Saccharomyces cerevisiae S288C: one gene and its partners. The main gene of each other region encodes a partner of the protein of the gene in region 2 in a complex. Each region holds a gene or a part of one and is shown on either strand. Other genes may lie near its edges. The genes, in order: RSM19, RSM25, RSM18 and MRPS9.

Evidence for each region.
Region 1: RSM25 (region 2) and RSM19 share a complex: the UniProt entries of both Saccharomyces cerevisiae proteins name them as parts of the mitochondrial small ribosomal subunit.
Region 3: RSM25 (region 2) and RSM18 share a complex: the UniProt entries of both Saccharomyces cerevisiae proteins name them as parts of the mitochondrial small ribosomal subunit.
Region 4: RSM25 (region 2) and MRPS9 share a complex: the UniProt entries of both Saccharomyces cerevisiae proteins name them as parts of the mitochondrial small ribosomal subunit.

What each region holds. Positions count from the first base shown.
Region 1 is NC_001146.8:694,552-697,093, forward strand, and holds RSM19 (mitochondrial 37S ribosomal protein uS19m RSM19), read right to left. Parts: upstream 777-2,542; coding exon 501-776; downstream 1-500. Other genes in the region: mitochondrial 37S ribosomal protein uS12m MRPS12, read right to left, coding at 1-271; putative ATP-dependent RNA helicase DBP6, read left to right, coding at 1,044-2,542. UniProt on the Saccharomyces cerevisiae protein: Component of the mitochondrial ribosome (mitoribosome), a dedicated translation machinery responsible for the synthesis of mitochondrial genome-encoded proteins, including at least some of the essential transmembrane subunits of the mitochondrial respiratory chain.
Region 2 is NC_001141.2:187,409-190,289, reverse strand, and holds RSM25 (mitochondrial 37S ribosomal protein mS23 RSM25), read left to right. Parts: upstream 1-1,505; coding exon 1,506-2,300; downstream 2,301-2,881. Other genes in the region: YIL092W (uncharacterized protein), read right to left, coding at 1-1,224; LYS12 (homoisocitrate dehydrogenase), read left to right, coding at 2,658-2,881. UniProt on the Saccharomyces cerevisiae protein: Component of the mitochondrial ribosome (mitoribosome), a dedicated translation machinery responsible for the synthesis of mitochondrial genome-encoded proteins, including at least some of the essential transmembrane subunits of the mitochondrial respiratory chain.
Region 3 is NC_001137.3:253,422-256,280, forward strand, and holds RSM18 (mitochondrial 37S ribosomal protein bS18m RSM18), read right to left. Parts: upstream 967-2,859; coding exon 550-966; downstream 1-549. Other genes in the region: TPA1 (oxidative DNA demethylase), read left to right, coding at 1-241; JHD1 ([Histone H3]-lysine-36 demethylase), read left to right, coding at 1,235-2,713. UniProt on the Saccharomyces cerevisiae protein: Component of the mitochondrial ribosome (mitoribosome), a dedicated translation machinery responsible for the synthesis of mitochondrial genome-encoded proteins, including at least some of the essential transmembrane subunits of the mitochondrial respiratory chain.
Region 4 is NC_001134.8:533,393-536,655, reverse strand, and holds MRPS9 (mitochondrial 37S ribosomal protein uS9m MRPS9), read right to left. Parts: upstream 1,397-3,263; coding exon 560-1,396; downstream 1-559. Other genes in the region: RTC2 (cationic amino acid transporter), read right to left, coding at 1-81; alcohol dehydrogenase ADH5, read right to left, coding at 1,839-2,894; YBR144C (uncharacterized protein), read left to right, coding at 3,107-3,263. UniProt on the Saccharomyces cerevisiae protein: Component of the mitochondrial ribosome (mitoribosome), a dedicated translation machinery responsible for the synthesis of mitochondrial genome-encoded proteins, including at least some of the essential transmembrane subunits of the mitochondrial respiratory chain.

The DNA of each region.
Region 1 (2,542 bases), on a different chromosome or scaffold from region 2:
CCACGTTCCCGTTAGTCAAACGGACCCTGCACGCCTTTCTCTGCGCAGAATTCGGCTTCTTGGGCTTTAAAACCATTACACGTAATACGACACCCTTCCGCTGGGGACACTGATCCAGTTGTGGAGCTGTACTTATCTTCTTGCGTCTTGGAGGCCCGGAGCCTCTTTTAATCTGATTCAATGTCGCTTGCATTGTCGTAGTGGAGGAAAACAATCTCTGCGCCTGTCTCAAGGGCGTACACCATGTGTTGGACATAAACCTCGACAACATGGCTCTTGTTGGCCTGCTTCAATTCTGGTGTACCTGTAAGTTCTCCGTCTTTTCCCTGGTTATATGCGTTTTTTCTCCCCAAATCGTTTTGTCGCTCGGGTAAGACTGAAATGCTTTTAAAAGCACTATTACTGTTTATTATGCTATATATATATATATATACAGCCCGAGTCTGGCTTGATCTTATTTACATGATATATCATCTAGAAATCTATATACACTAGATCCCTCATTTGTTCTTGGTTTGAGTATAGCTGAAACGCTTCCTGGTAGGTGCGAACTCGCCCAGTTTGTGGCCCACCATATCTTCTGATATTTCAATAGGTACGTACTCCTTACCATTGTGTATTTGAAATTTCAGTCCCACGAACTGAGGAAGGATGGTGGCGGCCCTTGCGTTTGTTCTTATTGGAGTGCCCTTAGTCATGGCCTCCCTTATGGGTAATGGCACGATGTTGGGGCCCTTCCATACGGACCGCGATAAAAGTCTAGCTGCCGGTTGCATTTTATTTTTGGTGGACACTACTTCTGCCGATGCTGTACTGCTCTTGCAATGAACCTCACCGTTTTAAGTCATGGTTAGATTCTTACTAGGCGCTTCCAATTGCCATTTCTTGCTCAGCCATAACCGTGAATAGTGATCCAAACGCTAATGCCGGGTGATGCTTAAAATTTGAAAAATTATTGCAGATTTGTATTATATAGAAAGCATAACTGGCGATGAGATGTGCTCGAAACTGGACACCTTTACCATTGGTGACCGGTAGTGACAATGTTTGCATCGAGATTTGACCCTAGCCAATTGACTGCTCCTGCAGCTAGCGCACCAGAAGGAATCGTCGGAACTACTCCCCCGGCCATTGTGCCTTTAAAGAGGCAGGCTACTGAATCTGATAATGAAGAATATGGCTCTCACCAAGATTCTGATGAGAGTTCCAACTCTAGTTCAGAGGAAGACGAAGACCGTATGCAAGTAGATTATGGGGCTAGTGAAGAGGATTCGAGTGAAGTGGAAGAGGAAGAGAGTAAGCCAAGTACTCACAGCACAGTGCTATCGAGATTCAAGCAAACAGTATCATTGCAAGAAAGGCTAGGTGCATCTGATATTGCTGAGAGTAAGGAAGACGAAGGTATTGAAGACGAGGCGGCCTCAACTCACCAACTAAAACAGATTCCTCAACCTGAATTCGTCAAAAACCCAATGAATTTGAATACAAATTCATTACAGTTCAAATCTACGGGTTGGTTAAATACTGAGAAGATATATTATGATAATTCCTTGATCAAACCGTTCTCGGATTACGCAAATGAATTAGAAGCAAAACTACTGCAGAATATTTGCAAGAATTTCTCTACAAACACTTTTCCCATCCAATCGATCATCCTAGACTCCATATTACCGGTATTGAACTTCACGTTGAACGTATCTAAGAGAAACTTCACCAGAAGAATCGGTGATATTCTTGTAAATGCTGCTACCGGTTCAGGTAAAACTTTGGCTTACTCCATTCCTATTGTTCAAACCCTCTTCAAGAGACAAATTAACAGACTGCGTTGTATAATCATCGTCCCCACAAAACTATTGATAAACCAAGTTTATACTACGTTGACAAAGCTAACTCAAGGGACGTCGCTTATTGTGAGCATTGCCAAATTAGAAAATTCTTTGAAGGACGAACACAAAAAATTATCAAATTTGGAACCAGATATCTTAATCACTACACCTGGTAGATTAGTAGATCATCTAAATATGAAATCGATAAATTTGAAAAACCTAAAGTTTTTGATTATCGATGAGGCTGATCGTCTTTTGAACCAGTCCTTCCAGGGCTGGTGTCCAAAACTAATGTCCCATTTGAAAACGGATAAATTAGATACACTTCCAGGGAACGTGATCAAAATGATCTTCAGTGCGACATTGACTACCAACACAGAAAAGTTAAACGGCTTGAACCTTTACAAACCAAAGTTGTTCCTGAAGCAAACCGATAAATTGTACCAGCTACCTAACAAATTGAATGAATTTAACATCAACATTCCCACGGCGAAAAGTGTTTACAAGCCATTGATATTGTTGTATTCAATATGCCAATTTATGGCACATTCCCCCATTGCTGCAAAGATTTTGATTTTCGTTAAATCAAATGAATCGTCTATCAGATTAAGCAAGTTACTACAACTTATCTGTGAATCTCGCTCACAATCCAGCGTATTGAAAAACCTTCAAAATTTGGCGGTGAGTATTAATTCTGTCAATTCAAACAACTCCAA
Region 2 (2,881 bases):
CCTCTCATTCAAAGAACGTGAGTTTCCATCCATACGTTCATCATAAGTTGTAGTTTCCTCCTTCGTGCCTAAAACTTCATCATTAATTAGGTCAATATTAATTGTGCCTGTAACCAAACTGCCGCTATTCAAAATCGATATTGGCTCCACTGCACATTGTTGAGATTTACTGTTTTTAAGATTCGTATGGAGATCGCTTAAATTGGTGTGTCCATTTTTTGATGTGTATGCATTGGCAGAAACATTCCTAGATGTAAGAATATTCTTTTCCTCATCCATGACAAGAAAGAGCCGCATTCCAGGTTCATTTTGTTTCCGACGTTTAGGATCGGGTATGTGTTGACTGTTCTTATCAAAGTAATTTTTCTTATCACTCTTTTCAATAACCTTATTCTTACTTATAGTTTTAGTATTCGATAATTTGCTAACGATAGCAGTATTCTTACTCTTTGGAGTACAAATGTCGGAATCCCTCGTATTTTTATACCGGTATTTTTTATGATTAGATGCTCTCTTCGCAAATTCACAGGCAGTTATCAATAGTGCTAAATTCAAAGTCATTGGGAATGCACAATTTTCCAGTTGCTTTTGCAACTGTGGCTCCAATTTTGTGAGGAATAGATCCAACGCAGCACCAGAAGACAGATAATATGGAGTTAGACGTCCCGATTTATGGGCAAATGCTTCTAATGACTTCTCAGAATCAATGGACAACGTCAATAGTTCCGTAAAAATTTCCCTTCTTAAAGATCTTGCTCCATCAAATTCTTCTGATAGTAGAGCAAGAAATTTTTCAAAACTGTAAGCCTTTATCACATGGTCATCGATTCCCTCCGTTGTAGAATCAAACCATGTCTTAGCCCGGCCGGATAATGCAGAGCTTATAAGAAGTTTCAAAAACGTTCCTGTACAGCATAGTCCAAATAAGATATCTGTAATATCATCGGCCCATTGGACGAATATATTGTTATCATCACCGTCTTCAGCACTGAATTTTTTCAGATGACTCACTTTATCTAGCATTTTGAACGCTTGTTCATCGTCATCAATCTGTCTTGTAACACAAAAATTATTACACGCTATGGGCAAAGTTTCGCTCCTCTTTCTACGTCCACTGTGTCCCTTCTTGCTTCGCGGCGGCAGGGTATTTCCATTAGCTATTGTATCACTATAGTTATTAGTTCCCGACTCGTATGCCATGTTTTTGGATCTCATTTGCACCATTAAGCAAAAAGAATCTGTTGAACGAGGACCCTAACCCAAGACAGCTAATATACTGCTTTTTTATGACATTTTTCATTTGGTCTTCATTCTTGCGCATCTTCTTTGAGAGTTGAAATTTCTTTGATACTTCGGCAATTACAGAAAAGTGCAAGTTACAAGCAATAAAACCAATAATATTTAGATACTGCACAAAAGTCTAAGAAAATAACCTCATTAGAAGCTTGGAAAAGGAAGAAGGACATTGCGCACCATTCAAGAAGAAGATCTTAGAATTCTGAGAAATGAAGATACAAACAAATGCTGTAAACGTCCTTCAACGGACGTCCGCTTACTTGAAATCAGGATTGTTGAAAGAAACACCTGCGTGGTACAACGTTGTAGCGTCTATCCCACCATCAACCAAGTTTACACGTGAACCTCGTTTTAAGAATCCTTCCAATGGACACATCATAGGAAAACTTGTTGACGTAACAGAACAACCGCATGCCAACAATAAGGGACTTTACAAGACAAGACCCAACTCGAGCGACAAAAGGGTGGGCGTGAAAAGGCTGTACAGGCCACCTAAACTAACATACGTTGAGGATAGGCTCAGATCGCTCTTTTACAAACAACATCCATGGGAGTTGTCGAGACCTAAGATTTTAGTGGAAAACGAAATTGGTGATGAAAACTACGATTGGAGCCATATGCTTCAGATAGGAAGACCACTCGATGGTGAAAGTGTTATCCAGCGAACTATGTACTTAATCAAAACGAAGCAGTATGGGGACATGGTCGAAGCATATGACCATGCCAGATATGAATTCTATGCGTTGAGAATGCAAGAAGAAACAGAGCAGCAAGTGGCTTTGGAAGAAGCGGAGATGTTCGGATCCCTCTTTGGAGTTTCTGCCATTGAACATGGTATACAAAAGGAACAAGAGGTCCTAGACGTCTGGGAAAAGAAGGTAGTTGAAGAAACTGAACTAATGGCAGCAAGGACAAGTAACCCTGCAGGGTCGTGGAAGGACGACACTACATTGAATACGGCGCAAGAAGAAGAATCCACCACTTCCGAGAACCTCCACTTCTAGGTGGGCTGCCTCTTTTCTCCAACGTCACCTAACCAACCTGTATATAATTAAAAACAAACGAGAACAACACATGTAGTGCTAAGTAATTGTCGTTCTCAAATTCCACCTCGATTTTTTCAACTGCACTGAAAATTCCCACTCTTTTTTTTTTTTTTTTTTTTTTTTTTCACTTTTTTCCCGTGGAAAAATATTCTTAAGATGACTCTAATTAGAGGAAAGAACAACAAGAAACTAAACTGGTTCTACAGTTATATAAGGACATCTTAACTGATTTAGAATTAGCTAAGACTGTATCTATGCGATTATTATATTAGTGCGACATATTTATATAACTAAGATAGTAACGCACTCAAAAAGATGTTTAGATCTGTTGCTACTAGATTATCTGCCTGCCGTGGGTTAGCATCTAACGCTGCTCGCAAATCACTCACTATTGGTCTTATCCCCGGTGACGGTATCGGTAAGGAAGTCATTCCTGCTGGTAAGCAAGTTTTGGAAAACCTTAACTCCAAGCACGGCCTAAGCTTCAACTTTATTGATCTCTACGCCGGTTTCCAAACATTCCAAGAAACAGGAAAGGC
Region 3 (2,859 bases), on a different chromosome or scaffold from region 2:
TAAGCAATACTTAAAGGAAGACGTTGAAGACGCTTCTGTTTATCGTGCGGATGACAGTGGTGATTCAGTATTGATTAATGATCCACCTGCTTGGAATACTTTCAATTTGGTCTTGAGAGATGAAAGTGTTTTGGAGTTTGTTAAGTACGTCAGCTGGAGCGCTAAATCTAGTAGATGGGATGTCAAAATGAAGTGGGATGTCAAATCATGTGATGAAGATGGTCAGGAAGATGAAGCGTAAACAATTAACCCGTCTTATTAAGTAAATGGCAGCTTAGATATTTATAAAGTTGTATAATAGAAGTAATAAAATTATTTGAAAAGTTATTCGTCAATTTCAGCTTATTCCTCTGGCGTGAATATCATTACCATAATCCAAATTCGAGTAAGCGAATAAAACGGGTATATTAAAGAAATATAAGAATGAATATAAGTTTAACTTAAGATCTAATTGCGATTCTTTTTACATATTGTATATTTACAGACAGAACTATGAAATGCCTTATTTTCTTAATTATTTCATGTGGAGAAGCATTAGTGTAGTACAGTTCACATTAATCCTATTGCCTGGCACCGTCTAATGGCTTTCGATAGTCTTCTTTGATTCTTTGCCGATAAGCCTGTGATATCCCTATGTTGGATTCTTCCCGTGGAGGTCACATATCTTGAAAGTATTCTTGGTCTTGCATAAAATTCTAGTGGATTTGCACCGGACTTCATTATATCGTTCCTGTTTGAGTTCTTGTTTGCCTGATATTTTCTATCTAAATGGATTCGTCCCATAGAGAAGTCAAATGGATCGTAGATAGTACCTTTGGGAAGTTTTTTGGACAAAGACTGATCGATTTTCTTTGTTTGTTGCGTTCTCCCCATTTCAATATTGACACTCTTCTTTTCTTTGATACCGAAATTGTATAGAGCACGTTTAAATGTGGAGCTTACTGCTCCCTTGATGATAGGTTGCATACCGTTTTGAATTTTTATGCCTGTGGTGGCATTCATCTTGAACATCCGAAGTTTTGTGTAGAACCTTGCCTTTTTGGTTAGAACTGTAACACTGTTAATAATGGACTCATATTTAAGTATGTAAAGTAATCCTAGATATTTTTTCCCCCAACAGGTTACCCTACAATGCAATTTAAAGGCATAATAGAACATCTAATAGAAGTGGGTGATTATAATGAGTAAGAAGACGTAATGATCATAAAACAAAATACTAATAAGCTATGGTGCAATGCAAGATCCCAATATTTGCCAGCATTGCCAGTTGAAGGATAATCCAGGCGCATTAATTTGGGTGAAGTGTGATAGTTGCCCGCAGTGGGTCCACGTGAAATGCGTGCCTTTGAAACGCATTCACTATTCAAATCTTACAAGTTCTGAAGTTCTGTCTTATCCAAATTCTGCGAAGCAAATCAAGAGCTACCGTTGTCCTAATCATAAGGAAGGAGAATATCTTACCGCATACGCTCTCATCACACAAAAAGGAAAGCGGCAAAGGAATAAAGAAAACCCTGAAGATAGTCATATAAATAAGCGGTATAATTTCAGAAAGAAGAAATTACTTGACTATATCGCTTTGAATGAGGGTGAATCGAAAAGGGATAAAATGAATCACCCTCATAAGGAGAGTTTCATGAAATCTTTTGAAAAATGGAAAAATGGCTCAAATATTATAAACGCCGCTGACTTTGCTGAAAAGTTTGATAATATAGATGTGCCGTACAAGATCATCGATCCACTGAATAGCGGAGTATATGTACCGAATGTGGGCACAGACAATGGATGCCTCACAGTTAATTATATCACCGAAATGATAGGCGAGGATTATCATGTTGATGTAATGGACGTTCAATCACAAATGAATGAAAATTGGAACTTGGGATCTTGGAATGAATATTTTACAAATACTGAACCAGACAGGAGGGATCGAATAAGGAATGTTATATCATTAGAAGTCTCTAATATTGAGGGATTAGAACTAGAGAGGCCCACTGCAGTTAGGCAGAATGATCTTGTTGATAAAATTTGGAGTTTCAATGGACATTTAGAAAAAGTCAATGGGGAGAAGGCGGAGGAGAATGACCCCAAGCCAAAAGTGACCAAATATATTTTGATGTCTGTAAAGGATGCTTATACGGATTTTCATTTGGATTTTGCCGGTACCTCTGTTTATTATAACGTTATCTCAGGACAGAAGAAGTTTTTATTATTTCCACCTACCCAATCAAACATAGATAAGTATATTGAGTGGTCTTTAAAAGAAGACCAAAATAGTGTTTTCCTCGGTGATATTCTTGAGGATGGTATTGCGATGGAATTAGATGCTGGTGATTTGTTTATGATTCCAGCTGGATATATTCATGCAGTTTATACACCAGTAGACTCTTTGGTATTTGGAGGCAACTTTTTAACCATCCGTGATTTGGAGACACACCTTAAAATTGTGGAAATTGAAAAGTTAACAAAGGTTCCTAGAAGATTTACCTTCCCGAAGTTTGATCAAGTGATGGGTAAATTATGCGAGTATCTTGCGCTTGATAAAAATAAAATCACTAGTGATGTCAGTGATGGGGATTTGCTTTCCAGGACCACTAATTGCGCAATTCAATCACTTCATGCATACGTTATAAAACCTGAAGTTAAGTACAAGCCGTTAAATTTCACTTCAAAGAAGCATTTAGCGAAAGCTTTAGCCGATCTTATTTCGTAAAATTTCTTCTTGTCCGCCACGTTCTTGTATCTTTTATTTCATCCTATGCTCTCGATGAATGAGATCTACTTTAGCAATTGATACAGTATAACCCTGACATTACATTTAGGGAATAATCGCCCCAATATAGGTTACAAAACATTAAT
Region 4 (3,263 bases), on a different chromosome or scaffold from region 2:
AACAATCCAACAGCATATTGATATGGATCCAGCCATCCCACTGAGATTCTTAGCATTCAAAATAATTGGGATCAGCTTCATGGCAGAAATTTAGGGATGCTCGCTTGAGGCTATTACGTCTGGGTTATAACAAAATATTGTGGGATATTACAGGAGAATAGTTTATTTATATGCCTGAACCCGGTGTTATTTGTAGTATTTATGGTTTATATTATGACTCTTTTTACATGTAACGGTCATAGTAAAATCTATTCTGATTTGCATCTTATCATCTCCTTCTTTTTTCCAATGGAATTTGAGTCATTGCTGCAAGGCCCCTTTGCTTTGCGGGTGAGAGGAAAAAAAAGATGAAGTATTATGTGCAGTAAGTAGAAGAAAATACTAACTGAGCAATATTCGAATACATATAACTTTATTTACAGGAATAACGAACGAGAGTTGTGCTTCTAATGCTGGGCGGCGTTGTATGCAAAATATATAACGTTTCTTCTGGCATGTGTCAAAAAACTCAGAGCACGCACGCTTCCGTTCGAAATTGAGGTAACAAGATGCACTAAGACTATCTCTTGACCCATGTTGGCATCTTTCTTGCCTTCTTTTTTCCTGGCTTCTTTCTTTCGACGTGCCTGTAATCTCTTGTTAAGACGCCAGCTTTATGTAGTCTGGATTTTAATAATGGATTGAACACAACCAAAGCTTTCGCAATGGCGTGCATGATTGATTCAGCCTGACCCGTAGGTCCGCCTCCAGACGTTGTCGCAAAAATATTGTACTTTCCAACTGATTCGATCACTTGAAGTGGATACATGATTGATTCTCTGTCTTTCATCTTAAGGAAGTAATCATTCAATTGTCGACCATTAACTAATATCTCACCTGTACCTCTAACAACGAATACTTTCGCAGTGGAACTTTTCCTTTTTCCAACGGCTATACTTCTTCCAAACTCATCTAAAGTTTTGATTTTGATATTATTGGAAAGCATTGAACTTTTTTTATAATATTGGGATAGTTCGGATGTGATTTCATCATTAGTAAGTTGAGGATCAATGTTGTGAAGTTTATTCAACATATACAGTAGCTGAGTATATTGCGTAGGCTTTAATTTCGTACCACCGCCGATTAAAGCGTACTCATCGAAAGAAATCCAAGGAGCTTTTGTTTGTTGTGCTTCATTGTTGTTCTGAGATGGCAGTTTTATGTATTTCCTTAGAAGTCTTTCGAGTCGATTAATACGATCTTCATGGTTAGGATTCGCCGAATAAAATGTGGCTAGCTTTGGGACGATCCTTCTGGGCAATTCATCCTCGGTTTTTTGATAAATAGTCCTAAAAGACATTCTCATAGGGGCAGGAGCCAGAGCTGCCCTTCGAAACAAAGAAAGCCTTGAAAACATTCCGCTTGGCTCAAACTCTGTCCACAACGAGTAAATTTTAGCTAATCAATTTAACCAATTTCTACTCCTCCTGGTTTCAGTTTCCAGTCGACATTATTAAATTTCTTTTCCGTAAATGGCCTATTTCAGTTTGTCTTACGCACGCAGTTGCTAGTTTTAAATATATCATTTTATACGTAAAGTTCATCTATATATCACATTATATGTCTCGTAAAACAATGGATTACAAAGAATTAGATATTGAAACGTTTGTATAGGTTGTTCTTGTAAGGCAAAATACCAAATGTCCACCGGTTCTCGCAAAGTACAGAATCACTCGCTATTTACTGAAGTTCAGAAATGGAGTAATTCTCATTGTTACAAATAAATCGTAAAAAGTCAATATCTACAAAATAGCTTATATAAAAAGTAAAAATATATTCATCAAATTCGTTACAAAAGATCATTTAGAAGTCTCAACAACATATCTACCAACAATTTCACCCTTCTCCATCTTTGCAAAAATTTCAGGAACATCCGATAGGCCAGCTAAGTGGATCGGAGATTTGATCAAACCTCTGGCGAAGAAATCTAAAGCCTCCCTTGTATCAGCTCTATTTCCAACACAAGATCCAACGATGGAGATTGATTTTACAACTTGATTGAAAACATCGGAATTGCAGTAAGCATGAGCTGGCATACCAACCAGGACGACAGTACCATTGGGCCTACAATACCTCGTAGAAGCCTCGATAGCTGCTTCAGAAACAGACACATTAATAACTCCATGAGAACCGCCATTAGTGGCCTTTATTATAGCACCAACAATGTCTTTTTCTTCCGTGAAATCGATGAATATTTCTCCGCCTAATTGTTCAAATAACTTTCGCTTGGCATTACCACCATCGATACCAATGACCCTGTAACCCATAGCAAGGGCGTATTGGATTGCCAGAGAACCCAAGCCACCGCATGCACCGGATATAGTGACCCATTGGCCTGGTATCACATTGGCTCTTTTCAACGCCTTATAAACAGTGATACCTGCACACAAGATTGGGGCAACTTCAGCAAGATTGACGTTTGGTGGAATATGGGCAGCTTGAACGGCATCGGCAGTTGCGTATTCTTGAAAAGTACCATCATGTGTGAAGCCAGTACCATCCAAATAAGGACATTGAGATTCATTACCTACTTCACAATATTCACAGGACATGCAAGTCCCATTCAACCATTTTATACCTGCAAAATCACCGACTTTCCAGCCCTTAACGTTAGATCCCAACTTAACAACAACACCAGCACCTTCGTGACCACCGATTAATGGAAATTTCAATTGAAATGGCCAATCACCGTGCCACGCGTGCAAGTCACTATGACAAACACCAGAATATTTAACGTGGACTAAAATTTCGTTAGGCTTAGGTTCCGGAACTGTGACGTCTTTATATTCCAATTTTCCATCTGTCTCATAAAAGACAATAGCCTTTTGTTTTTCAGGAATGACTTGCGAAGGCATGATGCTTTGATTTTGTAGATATGTAGTTAAATAATTTTCTTAGGTATCTTCCAATCAGAGACATTGTGAGACAGTAAAGCAGTAGTTTGCGCTAGAAATATCTTGTAGTCCCTCTTTTATATTCGTAGTATGTTATATAGATTACAATCTAGACAATACGAAGGAACGATCCCGCGTCAGCAGATGTCACAATTTGATTATTTCATTGTCACATGCTTTTTGACTCATCCTTCCGCGAAAGGAGAACTTTTTACAATGCCGCCGGCTCTGTTAGCGTACCCTTCTACAAGCAGATAGCAGAACAAACACATGATATATTCAAAAGGTGCAATGTCAGAGAACATATATTGCGCCCCTGTCCTGTAGACA